3 linked regions of the Alligator mississippiensis genome follow. The main gene of each other region encodes a partner of the protein of the gene in region 3 in a complex. Links are inferred from orthologs where the notes say so. Each region holds a gene or a part of one and is shown on either strand. Other genes may lie near its edges. The genes, in order: MYH9, ANXA2 and S100A4.

Region 1 (7,495 bases), on a different chromosome or scaffold from region 3:
GACTCTACTGTCTGAAATATGGAGCCCTCCCCAAAACAACACTGTGGACAAATAATTTCTTGGCCTTTTCATTAGTTAAATAATGCTGCTTTATAATTTAAGTTTAGGTACAACACTGCATTCTCTTCCACTCATTTGAGGATAGGCAATCAGTGCAATTTCTGACTGTTCCTCCCTCTTGTCCTAAGGAATAAAAGTGTTAAACTGGAAAGGATCTAGGCTTTTTTAGAGGATTGACTCGAGACAGGAAGTGAGCAAAAGATTACTCCTACTGACAAGCTATACAACACTGCTGTAATAAGCAGCAGTCAGATCCTCTGAAGCAAGAGAAAAAAATCATCAGTCATCCTATTTATAATGAATAGGTGTGTGTTGTGTGGCCAGGCAAATTTAAGCATGACTCCTCTTCTCTAGAAAACTTCAATATCATCATCTCCTCGCAAGATATCAAGGAAGATAATATGCTACACAAAAAACAGAACTTTGTACTGGCCATGCCCAGTCTGAAGGGTACAGACATTTCATAGATGTTAATTTGGCATCTCTACTCAGTAGAGATTTGCTAATCTACACCTGCCTTCACAGAAGTACTGAAAGTTTTAACCAAGTCCATCCTACGACAGAAGAAAGTTTTCTGTGTGTAGTGCCAACCTTCGACTATGCACAGCATTACTTGATGGATGACTTCAAGCAGGCATCAGGGACAGACATACAATTACAGACAGCTTCAGGAGATGAGGAACTTGATAGAATGACAAGCAAATTGTACTGCCACCTCCAAAACAATTTATAGACAGTTTCATGTGGCAGAACAACAGACAGTACCCTATGCCTACTAGGGCTCTCAGTTATCCTGAAATTCAAAGCTCTTAAATACTAAAAGAGCCCCATTCACCTGTACTCATTAGCTCCTTCTCCTCCACCCAAAGGTGCCTTTAAGCACCCCACTTGGCAGAAGCATTTATCTCATGTTATCCATATACTAGATTCAAGTGCTACTGCTCCAGACAGGGAGGGTAAGTCAATACAGGTCTGCACCAAGGGTTACAGCTTTCACTAGCACGATCCAGATAAGTGAACTTAGTCACCAGGTAGCTTGTGACTAAGTCAGAAAGCATCTTTATAGAGCCAGCAACTGTTTACCTTGCTGTTCCCTTTGTCACTACCTATACTTAGGAGAAAATGTATTTAAAGAGACAAATAGTGCTCACGAGGCATGTTTCAAGTTAACAATTACAGCTCACTAAGCCCCACACCTTTAAGCAAATGAGCCTGTATGTTTTGCCACAGAAGGGCAGGGGCATCATGACCTGTGGGCTTGGCCCTTTTCAGTGATAAGAGGTTCAGCTTTCCAGCACAAATCATGCGTTACTGCATGCAATGACTTCAACAAGCTGTTCGGGTACAGGGCTGCTCTGGAAAGAGCCTAGGCTCTGCCCCCCACTACCTCTGATGAGGCACAGCTCAGGAAGTTAGGACAAGGGGAAGAAAAGCTCGAGGAGAAGGAAAGCCGTGCAGATAAAGCACAAAGTTCATTCGGCAAGGGAAGACATACCAAGAAAAGCAGAGCTCAGCAGCCACCGGGACAGCTGCCTCTGGACCAACATATCAAAACTGCAGTGCGTTATACAGAATGTGGCACTGCTTTAAGCGTGGTATCTTTTACTGGACTAACTAATGTCGCTGGGATACAGTTATAGACAAGCTTTCAAACGCAAGACTTTCTTCCTCGGGTGACCCAAGGAAAAGTGTCTTGCATTCAAAAGCTTATCTAACTCTTGGCTAACAGGTGACTCATCTAACTCCCATCTAACAAATGACCTGATGAAAAATGTCTTGCATTCAAAAGCTTGAATATCTCTATCTCAGCTACATAAGTTGGTCCAATTAAAAAATAAAATAAAATAAAATAAAATAAAAATCACCCAATGAAACCTTCACCTCTTGCCTAAATACTGGACCATCACGGCTACAACATCCCTCTTACACTCTCATTCAAGACGTGTCCAGGCAGATGAGGAGAACCCCCCATTAACGACATGCTGGGTACAAATCCACCACCCACTGGGGCTGGGAAGTTCCCCAACTTTTTTCTCCTCCCGGAGGACAGGCTGGTAACAAGGCTGTGAGAAGCTAGACTCCTCTTGCATCTGCTGGAGCAGCAGAGGTGGATGAAAGCCCAGGGATCTGCCAGATTTTGTACTGCAAGCTTCATCTTGCCCCGTCACTCCCTTCCCTCCTCCCGGCTCGCTCTACCTCTTTCCTGGCTCGACTGTACAGAACAAACCGAATGAGGAAGTCAAGATCTGAGGGCGGAAGCCAAGCCCATAGCAATGTCTGCTGCAGAATTGTTGGCCTGTGACTCAGGCTGGAACCCTGACAGCTGCCAAACGGGCCTTTTTTTCACCCCCTCTCTCCCTTAACCCCCCCCCCAATTACTTCCAAGAAGAGGGGCAACAGGCAAGGATGGGGCAGGGGGAAGGGACCAGCAGCTCCTTTGCACCAATAGCTGGACGCCTTCAAAGCAAGGGGGCTCCATCACATGGGCAGCTGCCCTCTCCCTCCTCCCCTGGTCCTGGGAGCCCAGTCCAGCTGCAGCCTGCTTGGCTATGGAGGACACAAGGAGGAGCAGCCCCTGGATGCACTTCAAGTGGAAAAAAAAAGGAGATCACAAGGAGGGATCACAGCGCCTAGGGATGCACCCCCAAGGAAGCCTGCTCTGGGCCCTGCACACAGAGGAGGGCAGAGGGCACCAGGCAGCACCAGCATGGCCCTGGGGGAAATCAATGGGCTCCCGCCCGCCTCAACCGCAGCCCGGCACTGCTGGCGCCAACCATAAAAATCAATAAAAGGATTCGCGTGTTTCCGGGGCCCGCCCGCGCCGCGCCGCGCCGCCCGGGGGTCACCTGAGTCCGGCGATCGGCAGGGGAAAGCCGCGGCGGCGGCGGCTGCTTCTGGCCAGGAAGGGACTCGTTCTCGGCGTCCGCCTGCCTGCCTCGCACACACCGGCACTGCGAGGTTTCAAGCCGGGTGGAGCCGCCGCGGCCCGAGGAACACGCCCCGCCCATTGCTCCCGCGACAGCCAATGAGAGCGCCCGCTGTCCCCTTCCGCAGCCAATCAGGCCAGGCAGGGCGAGGCACTCGCTTTTTGTAACCCGCCCAACCCCGGTTTGGCCTGGCCCCGCCCCTTTCCCCTCGCAGATTAACAGGCAGAGCAGCCAATGGGGAGCGGAGAACCTAGCAGGGGCAGTTCCGGGCGGGGGGGAAGAGGCAGCAAGTGCGCCCTGCCCCACAATGCCCCGCGCGGGCCCTAGTCTGCCACAGTTCCCTGCGCTGCGCGGGGGCTCCTCCCCCAGCCCCAGGGGCCAGGACGGGGTGCAGGCTCCTGCCCTGGCGCTTCGCCTTGGGCAGCCCCACGCCCAGCGCCTTGCAAGTACCCCGAGTCCTATGAAATACGAACTTTCATTTCTACCCAGGAGAACTTTTACACTCTTTCCTCCCATGCCTGATGAAGGGTGTTTGTGCCCGAAAGCTTGCAATTAAAGAATTTTTTTTGCAAAAATCTTGTTGGTCTAATAAAAGATATCACCTCTGTCCACAAGCCTTGGTTAGGCAGCATCTAATTCACCAGCTCTGTCCATCTCAGCTGGGAGGTTTCATAGTCATAGAAAATGAGGGTTAGCAGGGACCTCTGGGGGCATCTAGTCCAACCCCCTGCTCCAAGCAGGACCAGCCCCAACTAGATCATCCCAGCCAAGGCTTTGTCTAGCTGGGTCTTGAAAACCTCCAAGGATGGAGAGAATCTACAACCTCTCTGGTTAATGGGGGTTTTACTTCCTTCCTAATGATAAAATTCTTCCCAATATCTAACCTAAATTTCCTTTGCTGCAACTTGAGACCATTGCTCCTTGGTCTGTCACCTGCCACCACTGAAAACATTGAACCCCGCTTCAGGTAGTTGAAGGCTGTTATTAAGTCCTCTCTGTCTTCTCTTCTCTAGACTTAAATAAATCCAGTTCCCTCAGTCTTTCCTCATAACTCATGTCCCCCAAGCCACTCACCATTTTTGTTGCCCTCCATTGGCCTCTCTCCAATTTGTCCACATTTGCAGCCTCCCGTGCATTTTGCAGCACTGGGTCCATTCCCAGTCCTGTGTGGAGCTTGCCAAATCATGCATCCAAAAAAAGGGAGGGAAAGCAGCACCTGATATGTCTCACAAGAGCCATCTTTCTGCACAATGAACAAGCAGGAAAGGGCATGTTTTCTTGGCTTTGCAACTTTCTTTTCCGAAGCAACAATGTTTGAAAACGGCAAAGGCAGCAAACACAAGACACCAGGCATGTAGATGGATGAAAGTGAAACGAAGCAGTCAGCATCTCCTGCGTCCATGCACAAAACACAAGCAACAACCATCTTGACTTGCCTGTGCTTGGAGGGCTGGGATATGGGAGAGAGGAGAGGAAACGTGATATGGTAACTAAGATGAGAACCAAGAAAGGATGGTGAAGCATTCCTGAAGAGGGTACTACAGAAGCCTAGGTACTTAAGATTTAATTTTTCGGGTTAGTATAATGTGTAAGTGTCTGGCACGTGTGACGTGACATAACAGATGCAAAAATAAAGAGGTCCCTTTCACTTAGTAAGTAACTCAAATGTTAAGTCGGCAGATTTGTAGGAACAGACAACGAAAAGAGTCCAGAGCTGGAGGCAATGTCAAAGGTACCAACAGAAAAGACAAAGAAGAAAGTCTTCAACTGAAAAAGGAATTAAGAGAGATGAAGAAGATACATTTGAGCAAGCATCTCTTGCCCAACTTCCATCCCAGAAAGATTGCTTTGGAGGAATTTGTAAACCAAGCTGCAAGTTTACACGGTCAAGACATGAAGGGTGGTGCGAGAGAAGTCCTGAAAGGCAGTGACAGATATGCACCGCTTAGTATCAGGGGTATATTACTGGTATTGTAAAAGATAGAGATGAATGAAAAGAATGTAAATAGTAATTCTAAGAGTGCTGAGAAATAAAATTTTGGGGGGGAGGAAGGGAGAGAAGAGGGGAAGTGCTCCATACAGGACATATCTTGATGTGGAAAAATGGTTACTTCCAGAGATAAAGAATTGCCAAGGAGGTTGGAGTGGAATCATGACAAGAAAGAACCAGGCACATCTGCATAACCAATGGCAGTGATGTTTCAAGAAGGAGAAAGGTTACAGATGCAGGACAGCTTCTTCTCAAATAGACTGCCTCCATCTTGACTGAGCAAATAGAGATTAGAGAGAGAGAAGTAGTTAATCAAGATTAAAACAAAGTTTTTGCAGAGTTGGAAAGTAGCAGATTTTAGAGAACTGGAGAAGGCAGACAAAGTTATTCACAATGGTAGCCATGTAGTCAGCAGAGGTGTGTTGTTACTATTATCAAACAGTAAGAAATTAAAGGATGACAAAAGGTAGTGCTTTAGGGACTGGATAATGCTACTAACAGCATCCCTCAAAGTCTTCTACCAATCTTATATTTTCATGTGCTGAACTGCACTTCCTAGGAATCAGGTTATGTCATTATTTTTCTTAGGTAATTGTTTATTTAGGAATCTGAGAACTTGATTCTCTTTCCATTACATGAAACAAAATCTCTTCATTGACTTCAGTGGGGAAGTATCAGAACTCAACTAGAAACCATCATTGCTGTAATTGTGCTCTCTTCCCTCCTGGAAAAATGTCTCCTCTCTTCTTAACTGGTCTCTAAAACTAAATGTTTCTATGTGTGAGCTAAAAGAAGCTATTTAAATTTGAAATGGTTGTTTTCTTTGCTTGGCTGATTGATAGCACCCTATGATGAAAGCCGGTAAGATTTCTGATTGTTGTACTACTGTACAGAGGCTTTTCTTGGTTTGGACCAGAAAATAATTCCCAGGATGGAGGAGGCATACCTAAGAAAGTGGGTATGATCAAATTGTTTCCCTGAGGCCCTGTTTCAAAAGATCATAACATTTCTATTCAATCCCTCCAACCAATTCCAGTCACCTTGTACATGCTGGACACAGTATGTATGCCCCATTTGAAACAATTAATTTGCACTTGTCTTTATTTGCATTCCAAGTCATTACCTCTTCCATTAGCTGGCACCCAAAAGCACCCTTTTCTCCAGATAGTCACCATCCATGATTGTGGAATTCTCCAGGAAAACTTCCCTTCAGATGAGCATCCAGAATTTTATAACATTTCCTGTCCAATTACTTGGCTTCTAAGACACCTGCACCGGGATGATTGCCAAAAAGCAATCTCCTCCCACCCATGTCCATATCCAGGTCTCGCAAAGTGCATGCTGTACATTTTGAAATGCAGTCATATCATATATACAAGATTTCCTGCCTAATATAGTGAACATAATCTAATCTTCCATACTATGAACTGTCAGGAGACATTATAGGCTTACTTCTTATTCTATTGGAGTATTGCTTTGTAGAGAAAATAGAAATACTCTTCCACCTTCATCCAAAATGAAGTGCCAACTCAGAGAAAAAAAAGTTACACTTTGCAAGATTAATTTTGATTTACATTTACTTGCTGACAGGTCTGGCTCTAGAGATGCAGTGTTCTGGAAAAGTGTTCTATGCAGTTACCAAGCAGTTCCACTGGATCTGTGGAAGTCTATGACTGTGCTCTGGATCAGTCAGTACTCATATATCAGAGATTTTCAATCTTTTTAGACTTGAGGCACCCCTTGGAAGATGCCAGCTCTTAGTTTTCACTTCTTTTTTTTTGACTACAGAAAAATAATACAGCAGTTTTCTGTTGCAAAGAACTCAGAAAAACCACAACTATGAATTTCTATGTGAAATCCCTGGATTTATTGTGTGAATCATATTTATAAACCAAATATCGCTAACATTGCATGGCACCCTGCAATATCCTTGAAAAGATCTTTAGGCACCCCAAGTTGCTGTGGCATCCTAGCTGAAAAAACACTAGTATATATAATGAATCAAGCATGCTCTGTACATATATTGTAGTAGGCAAGATATCTTGATTGATTTAATGTGCAGGGCCAGGCATGTAATTTGCTGGCTCAGATAAGTTAAACATATCTTCCTCCCCAAGCCTCCATATGCTGAATTAACTCAATTTCTGTTGCCCATGTTTTAAGAACCCTGGGAAGAAGCAGGAGGATTTAATTTCCAAGCCTGTCTCCAACAACTACAATTATTTGAAATCATAAAACTTCTTTCCTAGTACTTTGCAAATGGGATTTTTGTTGTACATTTTGCAAAATACATTTGTATTTCTAGCAAAGAAATTATAGAATGAAAAGAGGAAGGTTGCAAGATGTTTACCTCACAGGGGAAGGTATATTGCCAAACTAACCACACAGTGACTGTTCAGAAACCACATGTGCAAAAGATCTGCTGACTGTCACAACACAGTAGTGGTAAGAAACCTTAACTCTGTTTCTGAAATGGGCTGAACAAAGGACTGGAGCTGGAAACATGGAAGAGTTGCAC
Region 2 (6,944 bases), on a different chromosome or scaffold from region 3:
ACTGCATACTTAGTGCACATGCACTTACACATGTTCTTCCTTACACTGAAAAGAGTTGGAGCTTCTACTTTAGAGTCTATAAACCAAGACCTCATACATCCACTCAAGCAAATTTATTTATTTCTAAAATTATCGTGTACCCTGAATTAAAATGTTATTAAAATAAAATAATAGCAAAAAAGAAGAGAAGAGATCTGTTACTCTTTGCTGAAAAGAGCAGTCGTTTAAATGCTTGCAGGTCAGATTCATAGATGTTAGGGGCTGGAAGGGACCTCACGAGGTCCAGCCCCGCTGCACTGGGCAGGAAAGACTGCTGGGGTCAGATGACCTCAGCAAGGTAAGCGTCCAGATGTTGCCACACTATACCTGGTTTCTCTTATCTCCACCCTCCTAACAGTCTACCTCCCTAGCTAGGCAGGTTTGCAATAGTGATGTGGATTTAGAAATGTCCTCAGGGTTCTCAAATCTTTGGTTCCTGTATGTGCCATGATAAAAGTGACAGATGCTGACTGCAGAAGCAGCAATGTTACACCTGGCAACCAGCACCTGAGCTCATCCTTTGTCCTAGCTTGATAAGAAGCATGTCTTCTGTGGGTGACAAGCGAGGATGTTTCCCGGCTTTTGGAAGGAGAAATGGAATCTGCAGGATGAGGAAATGGAAAGTTTAGTGAGGAACCCGGTCGGTTGTGCTGTCTTCCAACCAGAACAGGGTGTGGCAATGGAGCGCAGAGGTCAGGGGAAGAATGGGGAGGACCACCAAAAAGGAGAAGAAAGAGACCCTCCCTTCAAAATGAAACAAAGCCTTACTGTCATCACCGAAATACAGACAGACCAATCTGTGTCCATACTCTACTTTAAAGCTACGCAGGTCAAACAGAGCCGCTCTCTGCAACCCGAATTGACTGACTTTAAAAGAAAAAAAGATCTCGCAGACCACTGATAGCCATTATTTCTACACAGTACAGCAACATATATATTGTAAATTATTCGTTCTCATTACTAGACAACCCAGATGGGGGAAGAAATGTCACTCTGGCGCACATGCCAGAGTAACACACTAAAGGTGAGACTACTGATTTATATTTATAATAGGAGATTCCTAACACCAGTACTTGGCAGGGAAAACCTCCCGTGGGGGGAAAAAAAAAAAAAAAAACTGTTCCGTAAGCGAGCAACTGGAAAAACAAACTCACTGGAGCTGTTCTGCACAAAGAGACTCAGCAACAGAAGTGACATACAGGGGGGGAACTTCACTAGTGATTCAAGGAGGAAATCTTAGTCCTACCACAGAGCTACCCTGCAGCACCCACCTAGCAACAACATAAGCAGGCAGTGTCCAAACAAAAGGCTGACTGTAATCATTTTTTATAAAAGAAGAAATAGTTCTGCTGCACAGAACATTAAATTTAGGGAATTACACTGCTTCTTTTGCTCTTATTTCCATGTACTTATCAGAGTCCTGTGACATACAAATAGCTTTATGAATTTAGAAGTCTATCCCGCACGGATCTGTCCTGCGCGTGAGGACAACTCACTGCTGCAAAACACCTCCGAACCTTTCCAGTTAAGAACAGAGCAACATTTCTCTGTTTTCCTCTAATGGCAGGGCAGACCAAGCTGCATTCATCCTGTCTTTAGGGCAGGGGGTCCCAACCTTTTTCTTCCCTCCTAGCATGCTATAAGAACTCCACGGGCCACCTGTGCCACAATAACTACCCAGCTCCCCAGCCTTGCCTGTGTGGCCCCAGGGTGCAGAGGCAGGGCTTGGCGGCAGGAAGCCCAGGGGCCCCACTCACCTGGGCGCAGCAGCGCGGAGCCTCGCCCACCCGCCTGCAGCACTGCTGGCAAGAGAGGCTGTGGTGCGGGGCTGGGCGGGGCAGCCCTGCCCCTGCGCCTTCCTGGGGCCTCGCCTCAGCCCCAGGGCCCAAGGCGGCTCCTCCCTACGCTGGGCGGACCCCCTGCAACCTGGATGCACACCCCCAGTTGAGAAGCGCTGCCTCAGGGGTAACACCCAACAGGAAGCTGGACCTCAGCAACTCTGCAAAGGGGGGGGGGGGGGGGAGGCCAACAATACCCCAGGGCATGTTGTTTCTGCAGTGGGGCAAAACCAGCACAAGAGCAGCTGTGACACTTGGACCGGCAGTCTGCTATCCAAAAGGACCTCTCTGGGAGGCCTGCTGGCACCACACCCAAGGGGAGAGGGTGAGGGCCCCATCCTCAACAGTCCTGCCTGGTGCCCTTTTCCTCCGGCTGTCCACACCATTCATAGGGTGTCTTTAAGAGGCTCCTGTTACCCTAGGATGCTGGAAGGAGAGGGGATACAAACTCAAATCCAAAGCCCAGCTGATTGCCTAAAACAAGCCACGTGGCTTGGAAAACCGGGGTCAAAAAGTGGATCTTAACTAGGAGATAAACTCCTCGTGCTTTCGGGAGAGACCGGTCGTACTTGCACGGGGGCAGGGCGGGGGGCTTGTCCTCCACAGCGCTTTTCTTTTGGTAGGTTGGGACATATTCACCCTTTCATTAAGCCCCCACGTTACAGAGCCAGACCCCCACGCCACGGCAGCCTCAAGCCTTTTTCCCAGGAGGACCAGCTCCGCCCGCCGGCAGCCGGGCAGCCCGCGGCCGGAGCCGCGCGAGCAGCGCCCTCGAGAGAAGCGCCGGCGGCCCCGGGCGCCGCTGGAGCCGGGGCCGGGCCGGGCCGGGCGGGGCGGGGCGGGACACGCCCGGCCGCCGGCTCGCGACGCGAACCGTGGTGGCGGCGGGGCTGTTTGCTCTGCCCCGGGGAGTCACAGCCACAGCCGCCGCCGCCGCCTCACCTGGGCTCTCGTCCCCGGGTGCGCCCTGCAGCCCCGCCCGCCCCTCCCGGCCCGGGTGGCTGCAGGCGCGGAGCCCCGGGAGCGGCCGCGCCGCGCGCTTACCTGTGCGGCAGCAGCGGGCGGCGGCGGCTGCAGCGGGGCTCGGCGGGGCGCAGTGAGGGCGCGCGGCCGCCGGGGCGCGGTCTTTGTGCCGCGGCGCCCACAGCGCCGCCCCCGCCCCGCCCCGCCCCGCCTGACTCAGCCCCGCGGCTCCACGCTGGCCGCCACGCCCGGGCCTCTGCCGCCGCCGCTACGGCTGCCACAGCCTGCCCGGCCCTGCCCTGCCTCGCCCCGCACCGCACCCGGCACACAGCACCCCAGGCCCTCCCCCGCAACGGACGGGTCTCACAGGGCCCTTTTCAACGCTGCATCTCAGAGCACCCGGCAAAGGAGGCCAATGCCATTATCCCCCTTGCACAGGTGGGGAAACTGAGGCCCAGAGGCACTTGGCAAGGTGGCGGCTTGACTGCGGACACAATCCTGTGCCCCAGTCCGGTGCTCGGGCAGCTGGAAGCCAGCGGGTCTGCGCCAGGGTGCTGCTGCATCCTGGGGCACCTTGAGGGCCTTTCAAAGGAGTGCTAGGCACTGTGAGGTTGCAGAAGTGCTTCACGAGATAAACCCAGAGATTTCAAATAGGCATGGTCTTCTGGAGTTCTTGGCAACTGGCCTTTGCTCTGTTATTTTCCTGGATGCAAAAAGAGTGAAAACTAAGAGCTGACATTTTCTGAGTGTTGCCTTGGGTCTGTCCAGGGGTGCCTATAGTTTCAAAAGATTAAGAACCACTGCTATAGGCTAAATCCTGCTGCTCCCAGTCACTGATGTCCCTAGGACCATAATTAGGTCCATTATTTATAGAAAGAGCGTCATTCTCAAAAGGGGCTGCTAAGTAGTTATGTCTATGTAGTAATCTTAAGAAGTGGCTGCTGCTCGCACAGACATGCTCAGGTGTAGTTCAGGTATTCATGGAAATCTAGCTGTGGAAGCACAGACTTTGGCACAGGGGTGTGCCCAGGAGCCAGACCCAAACTTCAGCTCCGGAAGCTTGTCCCGCTGCAGCAGCTCCCTTCCTTCCTATCCCTACCCACCCACTCTCATTAGAGCAAAGCTAAGTTTCATCTATATTACACCCAAAGCCTATCTACAGTGCAGTCAAAGAAGTGAGATACCTGAGCTAGCTTTAAACTAGTTAGGCTTGGGTAGTGGCAGCAGTCTAGCTGCAGTGGCATGGAACCAGCATAAGATACCTTGCTTCTGTGATGGGAGGGTGCAGTATTTTGTTAGTTCTCAGAAGACTAAACTGTGCGTCACCCCTAGAGAACAGAAGAGATCAAAGCCCCTTCAATGGCAAGGAAGGGAAATGTCCAGATGATCCCAGCATGTGAAGTTTGCCCCTTGCAGCAGAAAACAAGTGAACACCAAAGCAAATCTGACCTGAGAGAAAAGCTTTCTACCTGAGCCTAAACTAGTGATCAGGATCACTCTAAGCATATGAGCCAGACAAGGTTTCTGGGTACCACCTAAGGACACTAGTCCACCCAATCTAGTATCACCAATCCAGTATCCACAGTTTAATGCTGCAGGGGAAGGCAAACTCATCCTCTGCCAGTGGAATATATCTAGTCAATAAAACACTCAGAAAAATCTTTCCTGACCCCTGCAAGCCATAAAGTCTGAGATTTGATTATAACCAGTAATCTAATGCAAAGCTGCAAAAATAATGCACATGCTAAGTGTATGTTAGCGTGGAAAAGATTTGCAGAACTGTATTTTTTAAAGAGGTGCAGAATGAGGGAAGTAATTTGACAAGTAGAGCAAAGAGCTGCAAACATAAGCAGCAGCACTGAGAAAGGCACAGAAATGATTGGAATAAGCAAGAACATGGAGAGCCTGTGCACAGAAGAATAGGCTTGGAAGTGAATAGGTAGCTGATAGGGTAAAATTACAGCAGAGATTCAATGCTCTATGGTACTGGGCCTTGAATATGGAATCTGGGCACTAGACATGGAAGGCAAGAAAGAATTAGCAAGGAACATGAAAAAAGGGAATGATGTAATGATGCATCAGGAGAGGAAAAAGTTTAGTAGCCAATTTTTGCGTACTCTAAAATGAGATGCAAAAAGTTTGACCACAGGAGCAGAAGAGTTTGAAATTACATTCCAATTTGTTACAAAAGATATAAAACTTCACACTGTTCTTTCATTAGAGTCAAACATATATTACTTTAATCTTCAAGAAGACAAAACCAAAGAGACGATGTAACATTCCCATGGCATTGTCTGAGCTACATTGATCAAACTTCACTTGTGGGTAGCCCCAGTCTTACCAGCACTCAGCATTTACCCTTCTGCTCCGTAGGTAATTCCACCTTGTATTAATTTTTCATGCTTCTTCAGAAAATTACTGAACATTTGGTAAGGTAACTTGTAAGTCAAAAAACACTTGCAGCCCTAGGGAAAACAGCATCTTCAGACTCTAATATTAATTAGGTGTGCAGAAGCCAGACAGATGACTTGCTTACTATTGGATACAAACTCCCTCAGGGATTCATCTCAGATAAACCTGTCCAAGTCCCTCTCCAGAATATACAGCAACATATACTTTTAATCCTAGGTGCATATCAAACACCTAAGCAATAGAAAAGTAACAACATAATAAGAGGGACATAAATAAAATTACATTAAAAATATTGCTTGACATCCCCTACCCCACCCCACCCCAACTAGTGCTAGTCACTGCAAATCTGCTGACTTAACGGGAGCTTGTGTCAGCCAAGGATCTGGTCATTATATATATAATAAAAGAATATTCCAACTTTTCGCAAGTCTATTGACATTGTCAAAACAACAGAGACTTGGGGAATCTAGCTCAGAAAGACAATTAGGGCACTATTAAATATTAAGAAATAAATACTGAAACTGCAGAAAAAATATGAATCCTATTTTGCTTCATTTATTAGTTTACAATATTTCCCTGGGATCAAAGACTTCCTCAAGACTTGAAATATGCAAGATTTTTTCAAGCAGCCAAAGAGTAGAATGAATGCCCAAGTCACCTTTGAAAACAAAACTAAAGCTCCAGAGACCTGATCCTGACCTAAAGTTTACAGGGCTTGTGCATGGTTTGCACAAGGGTCCATAATCCCACTCTGAACTGCTGCATAATCATAAACAATAATAACAGTAATAACAGTAATTATAATACTAAGACTGGGCAGTGGCTTGGCTTACTAGGAACCCTGGAAGCTGCTGTGCCTACTTGCCTCAAGTTTCTGTTTAGGAAAAAATGGGAAATGCATCATTCCAAGTGCAAGGCAGTGTTTACAAGACAGGGAAAGGAAATACAGGCAACCCTCACCGTTCGCGGAGGATATGTTCTCATGATCCCTGCAAATGGCAAAATCTGTGAATAAGGCACTGGTGGCTGGGGGTGGGGGGCATGGCTCCGGCGGTGACAGTGGTAGTGCAGCGGCGGGAGCCCGGTGGCAGCAAGCGCAGAGCTCCCGAGGAGCTCCTGTAAATGTGTAAAGTGTATTTAAAATGCAGGTTCAGCATTTGCAAATATTTGAAACCGCAAATGCTAAACCCGCAAATAATGAGGGTTTCCTGTATTGTTTTAGTTCTCACATTCCTTAATCTCTGGATTTTTTTTTATTTAAGGCAGCACAGTAGGTTAAATTTTTAGCCTCGTTTCACGGCAACCATTGTGGCTGCAATGTTCTCACTACTTGCAGTCTTCAGCTTCCCAGATGCCAACCACAGAAATCAAACAGAGAACACTTTTATCTACTTGGGTTCCCCAGAGCCTTTGTGCTACTTTCTGATTCTGCCTCTCTTTTAGTTTGCCCTGAATGCCATGATCTCTGCACAGTACAGTGTGTTCTTATCCCCATTTACCCTGTCTTCCCAACCTCCAGCCTTGCCAACTCCCCTATTGTTTAATTTGTCTGAAAATGGCATGTGATTTCTACTTCTTTCTTTCTTCTTTCAGGTGTTTTGTTATATTACTGAAAGACCAAGTCATTTTCAGTTTTAAGCTTCACCTCTCAGCCACCTTCCTTCCATCTTAACCTTTGTTTCCCTTGCAGCA
Region 3 (7,164 bases):
GGCAGCCTGTACGGGGCTTGGTCCTTGCAAACTCCCTGTGGGACCCAGGTGTCCGGGTGCGGCCTGGGAGCAGGGCATGGCTGGCAGGTTCCAGCCTTGGGCAGGGCACATCTGGAGGGAGGGAGACCCTGCCCCAGCCCGGCCACTCCCTGCTTGTCGGTGGACCTCCCTCTGCAGCCCAGAGCCAAGGGATGAGTCAGGCTCTCGTGCCCCGCTCTGCTCTGGGCACCGTGCCACGGGCTGATGCCAGAGAAGCTGGGAAGCAGGAAGTGGCTTTGGGCCGGGTGCTGGATGGTGGGGAGGGGTGTGTGTCTTGCATGTCCCCGGTGAGTGTGCGAGTGCCTTGTCTGTACATGGTGAGTGTGCCAGTGTGCTACCTGTGCATGGTGAGCCTGTGAGCGCGCTTGATGTGCTCAGGGGATGTGCAAGGGCACTGCTTATGAACAAATGTGTGAGTGCATTGCTTACCGTGTGGTCTGGGCCCCCGCTCTTGCCTGCCCATATGGGGCTGGGGGCTCTGAGCTCACAGGGGCCTCGATTTTCAAGGCTGAGCATCCTCCCCTTTCATGTCTCCGAGACCCTGGGGCCTCTCCGGCTGCTCCTGATGCAGGACCACTGACCCCTGCCCCTCTGCTACTTTCCAGGATGCCCCAGCACCCCTCTCCTCCCCCTGCTTGCATTGCTCCAACCCTTCTCAGCCCCCCTTCTTGCCCAGCTGGGGCTGCCTCTACAGGGTCCGGGTCTGATTGCCTGTGCTCTGATTGCCTGTGGGCCAGGCCTGATGCTCGCAGCACCTGCCACAGCATCAAGCTGGATGGATAAATCTGCCCTGCAGACATGTCCCTGTGGTGTCCCACGCCCAGGCGCACCTGCCTGCTGCTGTGGGAATGGTTTCACCTGGGACAGGGGATGGGGATAGGGATAGGACAGCTCTGGATGGGGCTGTGATGGGAGAACCCCTGAGACCTGCCCCTGGCTGCTCGCTGCATGCGCTGATGGTGCTGCCATTTGTGCACTGACCCTGGTGGCTGGAAGCCCCTGGGGATGGGGAACTGCCCCCAGCCCCCCAACAGCATTGCACTGCTGCTCTCAGCTCCCTCCTGGCTTGCAAAGGGCTGCAGGGGGGTGGAAAGGTGTCCTGCCTCTCCTGCAGCCTGGTCCTTGGCATTTGCAGCTGGGCATCCTCCATCCATCGCCCCCATCCCAGAAGGGCTCAGGGCTAGGGGTGAACCTCAGGGTCCAGGCCTGGATCTCATTGCAAACTGCTGGATTCCCCTGGTGCAGGGGGGCTTGGTCAGGGCAGGGGGTCCCTTGGGCCTGGGGATGGGGGGGCACTGGCAACTTAAGCCTGCTTGTGGCAGAGCGGTGGGCAAATCCCACGGCTTCCCTGGGAAATGGAGATGCAAACCTGCTCCCATCCCATCTCTGGGGTTGCTGCAGGGCAGGAGCAATCCCCCCAGCCCACTTGGGGCCTGGGGCACCCTTGCACCAGCTCTGATCATTCTCCTGACCCAGCAACCTGGGTTCATCCCTCAGCCCTGGGAGCCATCTGGGCTCTGCCCCCTAATCAAACAGCCGATCCGGTCCCTGCCAGTGCAAACAGGACAGGAGCAAACAATTGTGCCTCCCCCCAGGTTCAGAGCTGCGCGGCCCTGCCTGCCAAACTGGTCCTGGGTGCTCAGATCCTGGGGAAGGGTGGGTAGGGCCTGCAGTGAGGATGGAGAGCTGCCAATGTGGACTCGGGTTCAGGAGCGGGTGAATGTGGTGCATATTGCTACCGGGTGCCCTGGTTCCCAGGCCTAGCCGAGAGCTGTCCGTGCTGTCCTGCCATGACCGCAGTGGCTCTGAGCCCCTGGTGCTGGGCTCATGGGCTGTTCTCCCACCCCATGCTCTGCACCAGTACCCCCCACCTCCATGCCCCCAGGTACCCTGACACGGGCAGGTGGCCATGGCCCAGCTCTGGGCAGTTCGAGAAGGGGCCAGCAATGAGGACCCCTGGAGCTACTAGGGGCTTGGAGAGACTCCCTTTGGGCAGCCCCAGGGGCTCAGACCCCTGCCCCATTGTGCTGCGACCTGCCACTGCTGCCCCCCCACTCTGGCAGGATGCGGGAAGGCGCATCCTCGGCGCTGTCAGCTGGATGAGACCAGGCTTGTTCCTGGGGCCTTGTGAGCTGGGGAGCAGGGTGGGCTGAGCCATGGTCCCCAGGCAGAATGGGGCTGCACTTGCACCGACATTCAGGTCTCCACAGGCCTGGCTGTGCAGTGAGAAGCAGCTGCTTGCTCCCCCTCCCCCCTGCCGCTCGCTTCCCTTCTGCATGGCGGCATCCTCCCCACTCAACTTTTATTTAATTGCATGTCAGGGTTTGCAGCTGGCTGGGGGGTGTTGGGACCTGCCAGGCTGGAGCCAGCTGTGCAGAGCCCCCTCCAGCTGTGCAGGGTGTGAGCTGGGAGGACCCCTGCATGGGTGAGCTGGGGGATGGGGACCCTCGAGCTGGCATGCAGCGGGATCCCCACTGCCCACCGGCACTGCTGCCAGGACCTGGGGTCTCCAGCTGGGAGGTGGTGACACTGACCCCAGCCCCACGGCATGGTGCTGGGCACTGCCTTTGCAGCCATGCACTCCCAGACCCCTCCCAGGGAGTCAGGGGTCTAGTCCCTTTTGCTTCTGAGCAACCCCCGAGCCCTTGCAGCTCAGATCCCTGTACCCACAAGGCCTTGGCCCAGCTCCACGCCCTCCTCCCACTCTCCTCCAGCCGGAAGCAGCAGGACTTTCCCCTACCCGGAAACCTCCCTCCTCAGCTCCATGTGAGTCACAGCCTGCATGGGGCTGAGTGGGGCTGTTCCAGGAGGCAGCAGGGCTTGCCACCTCCTCTGCACAGGTTGAACCCATTAAGACCAAGCCAGGCCCAGGTGTGACTGGGGGAGGGCATCTGGGCTGCCCTGCCCTGTGGGTCCTGGGTCCTTTCTCAGGGAGGTGGCAGCTGACAGCGCTCTGCACTCTCCTTCCTGGAGCAGGGGGGTCGGGGTGCAGAGCCTGGCACTCCCCAAGATGCTCCAGCATCGGGCACCCATGTCTGGGCTTGCAGCCCAGGAGAGCTGAGGGCCTCCCATCTCATGTAGGGTCCATGCCTCTTCTCTCCCTGGCAGCAGAGGCTTCGCATGGCCCCTGTGGCAGAGGGGCTGAGCCGTCCAGGGTCCTGGCTCTGGGCTAGCTTAGCAGCCAGTTCCATGCCAACCAAGCCCTGTGCCCCCAGGGTAATCAGGCCTGGAGCCAACTCTTTCCCTGCTAGCCTTGCAGAGCTGGTACAGCTCTGGGCCCATTCCCAGCCCTGTCTCCTGGGAGATCCTGCCTGCCCCTGGCTCTGGAGTTTGCCTTGACCCAGGCTCCAAGGATGCTGGGGTGCTGGGAGATGCCTCCAGGTTGCAGCAGCTTTGCTTTCATGCCTGCAGTTTGCCCTGTGGCCTCTGATCCACCCGGGGCATCTCCAAGCATTGCAACTTCGCCTCATCCTGGCTTGCACCTATGCTCTGAGCTGGCCACATTGCAGGAAGGAGGATGCAGATTAAGGTCATGCTGGGCCAGTGTGGACACCATCAGGGTTTGACCCCAGAGACCTGCCTATGGGGCTAATGGCAAAGACAAGCCTGGGTGGGCAAGACTTGGTGGTCCCCGTGTGGCTTGCTGTGGGGACTTCCCTGCTGCAGGGATGTGACCTTCCCAGGCTTTGGCAGGGCATCAAGCCTGTATCCCCTGCTCCAACCCCACTGGCCTGGTCCACCCAGCTCAGGGGGATGCTCTGGCACGTGACCGGGACCGTGGGGCCTATGACACTTAGTGGAAGAATACAGCCCAGGCCAGACCAGCATCTGGTTACACAACTCAGCGGCACCGCCCTCCCACCATTATGAAACGCAAGGCAGCTGCCTCCAATTTCAGTTAAAAAAAATGAAAAACACTCCGAAACAGCAGCTCGGGCACTGTGCGTCATGGAGCTGCGGATGCTTCCCATCGCTTCATGCTCGCTGGGATTAACCCTCGGAGCAAATGCGTGTCCATGATCAGGCCGTGCCGGGTAGGGCAGGCATTTCCTATGCAGCTGTGATTGAGCTGTCCTAGGGTTTCCTCCCCTGCGTGACCAGGGTAGGTGACGCGTGAATAGATGCCTTGGCTTGATGAAGCCCTTGTCACTGTTTCATGCTTCCTGGGCCCTTTCTCCCTGAAGCATCTCGGGGCAAAGTGTGGGGGGAGGGGGGGGGGCAGGCAGGAGTATGGCTGTGGACTGGAGCCACCTGGACACATGGCAGGTTTATCCAATTTGGGGTGCTTTAGACAGAGAGGGGTAAGGGAGATCTCAGATGATGGCCATTGACTCACCTGAGCAGCCATCCCACGCTGCCTTGTCCCATGTCCATGCATGTGTTCATCCACCCCATGCTCATCCCCCCCGCCCCCCCCTCCTCTCTCCCACCAGGGATTGCAAAGACTCATTAAGCTCTGACTCCCCCAGTTCGTCCCTCATTTTGTTTCCTGCTCTTGTCCAGGCTGTTCCACTCCCTCCCCTGCAGATACACCCCATGGCCCGGTGCCAGTCGGTGCCCCTTGCACCCACCGGGGCAGTGGCTGCATCCGCCCATTCTTCTCTGCCCAAAATTGGGCCTGAGGGGAGGGCAGGACATGGGGCCCAGGGCTCCCCAGCCCCTTGTAGCCAATGCCTGCCAGGACGTTTGGGTGCTCCTCCGCTCATTGGCCTTGCTTTAATTTCCAGAGCCGGAGGGGGTGTCCCCAGTCATGTACGCTGACTATAAATACTGAGGGTTTTTGCTCAGCCGCTTGTCCGGCCAGCATCTGTCAGCCTATTTCCTGCCTCGCTGCCTTGGTAAGTGGTTTGTTTTATTGAGATGCTTGGGGCTTCAGCTGCTCCAGCTGCTGGTGGTTTGTGCATGGGGGGCTGGGGACACAGCCAGCCCTGCGGTTTGGGAGAAGGGGGCGCTGCCTTTGCTGCAGCAGATGTACATGATCCTGAGCTGGGGTGGTGAAGGCGGCCACGGGTTCCCCACTTAGCCTGGGTCTCAGAGCTGCCCTCTGCATCCAGGCAGTTTTGGGGTTAGTGGAGGTCTGGGGCTCTGCTCTGACACAGCCAGGGCTGCAAAGGGCCTCCCCGGACCCACGCAAAGGGTGATGCCTCCTCTGGAGTCTGGGCTTATGCAGCAGCCTGGCTGGGGTCTGCAGTACTTGTGCCCCCCGTTGTATTCCCATTATGCTCCCAGCCCCCAGGCTGTCATTGCTTGCCCCCCACAGCCATTCTTCTGCTAAGCCCCCAGCCCTCAGGCTGTCATCGCTCGGTCCCTCCAGCTGTGCTCCTGCTAAGCCTCCAGCCCCTGGGCTGTCATTGCAGTTGGCGCTGGCTACCAACGCCCATCTGCGCTGCCAACATGACCTCAGGGGAGGCTTGGGAGCAGGCAGGAAACAGTGACACATCCTCCTGCCTTGGTGCAATTAGCAGGTGGGGGCCCTCCCTCTGGGGATGCTGGGCAGGGCCAGGCTATAGGCACTTAGCACTTGTCCCATGGGCCTGGGTGAAGGGTCTGTGACCGGAGGGCTTGGTGGGGATGCTGGGAGAGCTGGGCACACCACAAAAGACAGGACCCGGGTACCTTGCCTGTGCTCCTCCTATGCAAAGGCACTCAAATATATTCAAATCTGCTTCCGTCCCTGCACCCTTAACCCCTGGGCCAGCTGGTCCCAGCTTGGTAGGGAGCTCTGTGCTTCGGGCCGTGCTCTAAGCAGCCCCCTCCCCACGTCTCTAGCTCCCAGATCTGCCATGGCGCATCCCTTGGAGCAGGCACTGCAAGTGATTGTCTCCACCTTCCACAAGTACTCGGGGAAGGAAGGCGACAAGTTGAAGCTCAACAAGGCAGAGCTCAAGGACCTGATGCTGAAGGAGCTGCCCAGCTTCATCAGTGTGAGTGGGGGGACTGGGACCCCCAGGCACTGGGGGCGGTGCTGGGACCTGGGCACAGGAGACCTGTCTGCCCCTGTGAAGGGGTCCAGTGGCCTCTTGCAGAGGGGGCTCGGTTCCTGCTCTGGGATTTATTCTCAGATAAATCTATTCTGCCCCTTTGAAGAGGGGAGGGGGGCAGGAGGTGCCCACGTCCTGTCCCAAACAGTTCTGCCTGGGGCGGGTACACGCGGATGATGGGGTGGAGGGAGGTGGGTGATGCCCTGAGCTGCAGGAGGGGTGCAGAGCATTTCTGGGCTAGGCTGAACCCTGCTCCCACCTCCTTCCCCCTGGCAGAAAAAGACGGATGATGCCAGCTTCCAGAAGATGCTGAGCAACCTGGATAGCAACCGCGACAACGAGGTGGACTTCCAGGAGTATGCCACCTTCCTGGCCTGCGCTGCCATGATGTGCAACGACATCTTTGAGGGCTGCCCCGACAAGATGCCACGGAGGAAGTGATTGCCCTGGGCCTGGGCTGTCCTGCGTGGGTTCCTCCTGGGACCCCCGCTGCATTGCTCACCACTGCCTCGAGAGCCCGTTGAGAGCCCGTGCAATAAAGTCACTTCCAGAGTCCCGTGTGTGTCTTCGACTGTGTAACTGGTTCCCGGACTGTGTTGCACATGGAGTCGTAGGGGTGGGTAAAGTTCCCTGTGGGGTCTTCAAGGGTTTCTGCCAGCTTTGCCCAAAAGAGCAGGGGTCTGATCCAGGCGCAGGGAAAAGTGCAGCAAACCGGGGTCGGGGGCTTTGCTCCTTCCAACTCCAGGATAGCAGCCCTCAACTGCTGGCAGCAAGGGGAGCTCCTCCTAGGCTCTACCCCGCTCCAGGGGGATCCATCTTGGCAGGTGACCCCATAAGTCCTTTCCTACCTGGGTGAGTTTATTGCAGAGCCAGAGCCTGCTGCAGCCCCTTCCCCACAGCTCAGTGACCATGGGGTCCCAAGACCAGGGTGAGGGGCTGGGCCACAGCACTCCAGGGCAGCTGGCTGTGTGGCCCTGGGGTCACCCACAGAGAGGCAGCAGTGCCTGTGGTCCAACTCCACCGGATGGAGCCATGGCTGCTGCATGACGGGGCTTGGACAGTCCCAGCAGCCCCCCACAGCAAACCCTTGGCTCTTGCCGGGCACCTGTCCTGGGCCCTTGCTGTCCACCCCCTGCCTCCGGCT

What was found.
Region 1: the proteins of S100A4 (region 3) and MYH9 are in contact, whole or in part, in an NMR structure (PDB 2LNK), measured with the Homo sapiens proteins. The link is inferred for Alligator mississippiensis from reciprocal best matches to the Homo sapiens genes S100A4 and MYH9. Residues at the interface, in NP_002952.1 of Homo sapiens: Leu38, Ser44, Phe45, Leu46, Gly47, Lys48, Arg49, Thr50, Asp51, Ala54, Phe55, Lys57, Leu58, Asn61, Leu62, Ser64, Gln73, Glu74, Cys76, Val77, Phe78, Ser80, Cys81, Ile82, Met84, Met85, Cys86, Glu88, Phe89, Phe90; in NP_002464.1 of Homo sapiens: Thr1906, Ala1909, Met1910, Glu1913, Val1914, Ser1915, Leu1917, Lys1918, Lys1920, Leu1921, Arg1922, Asp1925, Leu1926, Pro1927, Phe1928, Val1929, Val1930, Pro1931, Arg1932, Met1934, Ala1935.
Region 2: the proteins of S100A4 (region 3) and ANXA2 are in contact, whole or in part, in a crystal structure (PDB 5LPU), measured with the Homo sapiens proteins. The link is inferred for Alligator mississippiensis from reciprocal best matches to the Homo sapiens genes S100A4 and ANXA2. Residues at the interface, in NP_002952.1 of Homo sapiens: Lys35, Leu38, Pro43, Ser44, Phe45, Leu46, Gly47, Lys48, Arg49, Thr50, Asp51, Ala54, Phe55, Lys57, Leu58, Asn61, Leu62, Gln73, Phe78, Cys81, Ile82, Met84, Met85, Glu88, Phe89, Phe93; in NP_001002857.1 of Homo sapiens: Leu13, Glu14, Pro21, Ser22, Ala23, Tyr24, Ser26, Val27, Lys28, Tyr30, Thr31, Asn32, Phe33, Glu36, Arg37, Leu40, Thr44, Gln69, Asp70, Phe73, Arg77, Arg78.

What each region holds. Positions count from the first base shown.
Region 1 is NC_081827.1:100,992,159-100,999,653, reverse strand, and holds the start of MYH9 (myosin-9), read right to left. Parts: upstream 3,018-7,495; 5' UTR 2,907-3,017; intron 1-2,906. UniProt on the Homo sapiens protein: Cellular myosin that appears to play a role in cytokinesis, cell shape, and specialized functions such as secretion and capping. Required for cortical actin clearance prior to oocyte exocytosis. Promotes cell motility in conjunction with S100A4.
Region 2 is NC_081834.1:33,976,695-33,983,638, reverse strand, and holds the start of ANXA2 (annexin A2), read right to left. Parts: upstream 3,021-6,944; 5' UTR 2,922-3,020; intron 1-2,921. UniProt on the Homo sapiens protein: Calcium-regulated membrane-binding protein whose affinity for calcium is greatly enhanced by anionic phospholipids. It binds two calcium ions with high affinity. May be involved in heat-stress response.
Region 3 is NC_081838.1:13,253,465-13,260,628, forward strand, and holds S100A4 (protein S100-A4), read left to right. Parts: upstream 1-4,770; 5' UTR 4,771-4,877; intron 4,878-5,808; 5' UTR 5,809-5,822; coding exon 5,823-5,963; intron 5,964-6,296; coding exon 6,297-6,461; 3' UTR 6,462-6,575; downstream 6,576-7,164. UniProt on the Homo sapiens protein: Calcium-binding protein that plays a role in various cellular processes including motility, angiogenesis, cell differentiation, apoptosis, and autophagy.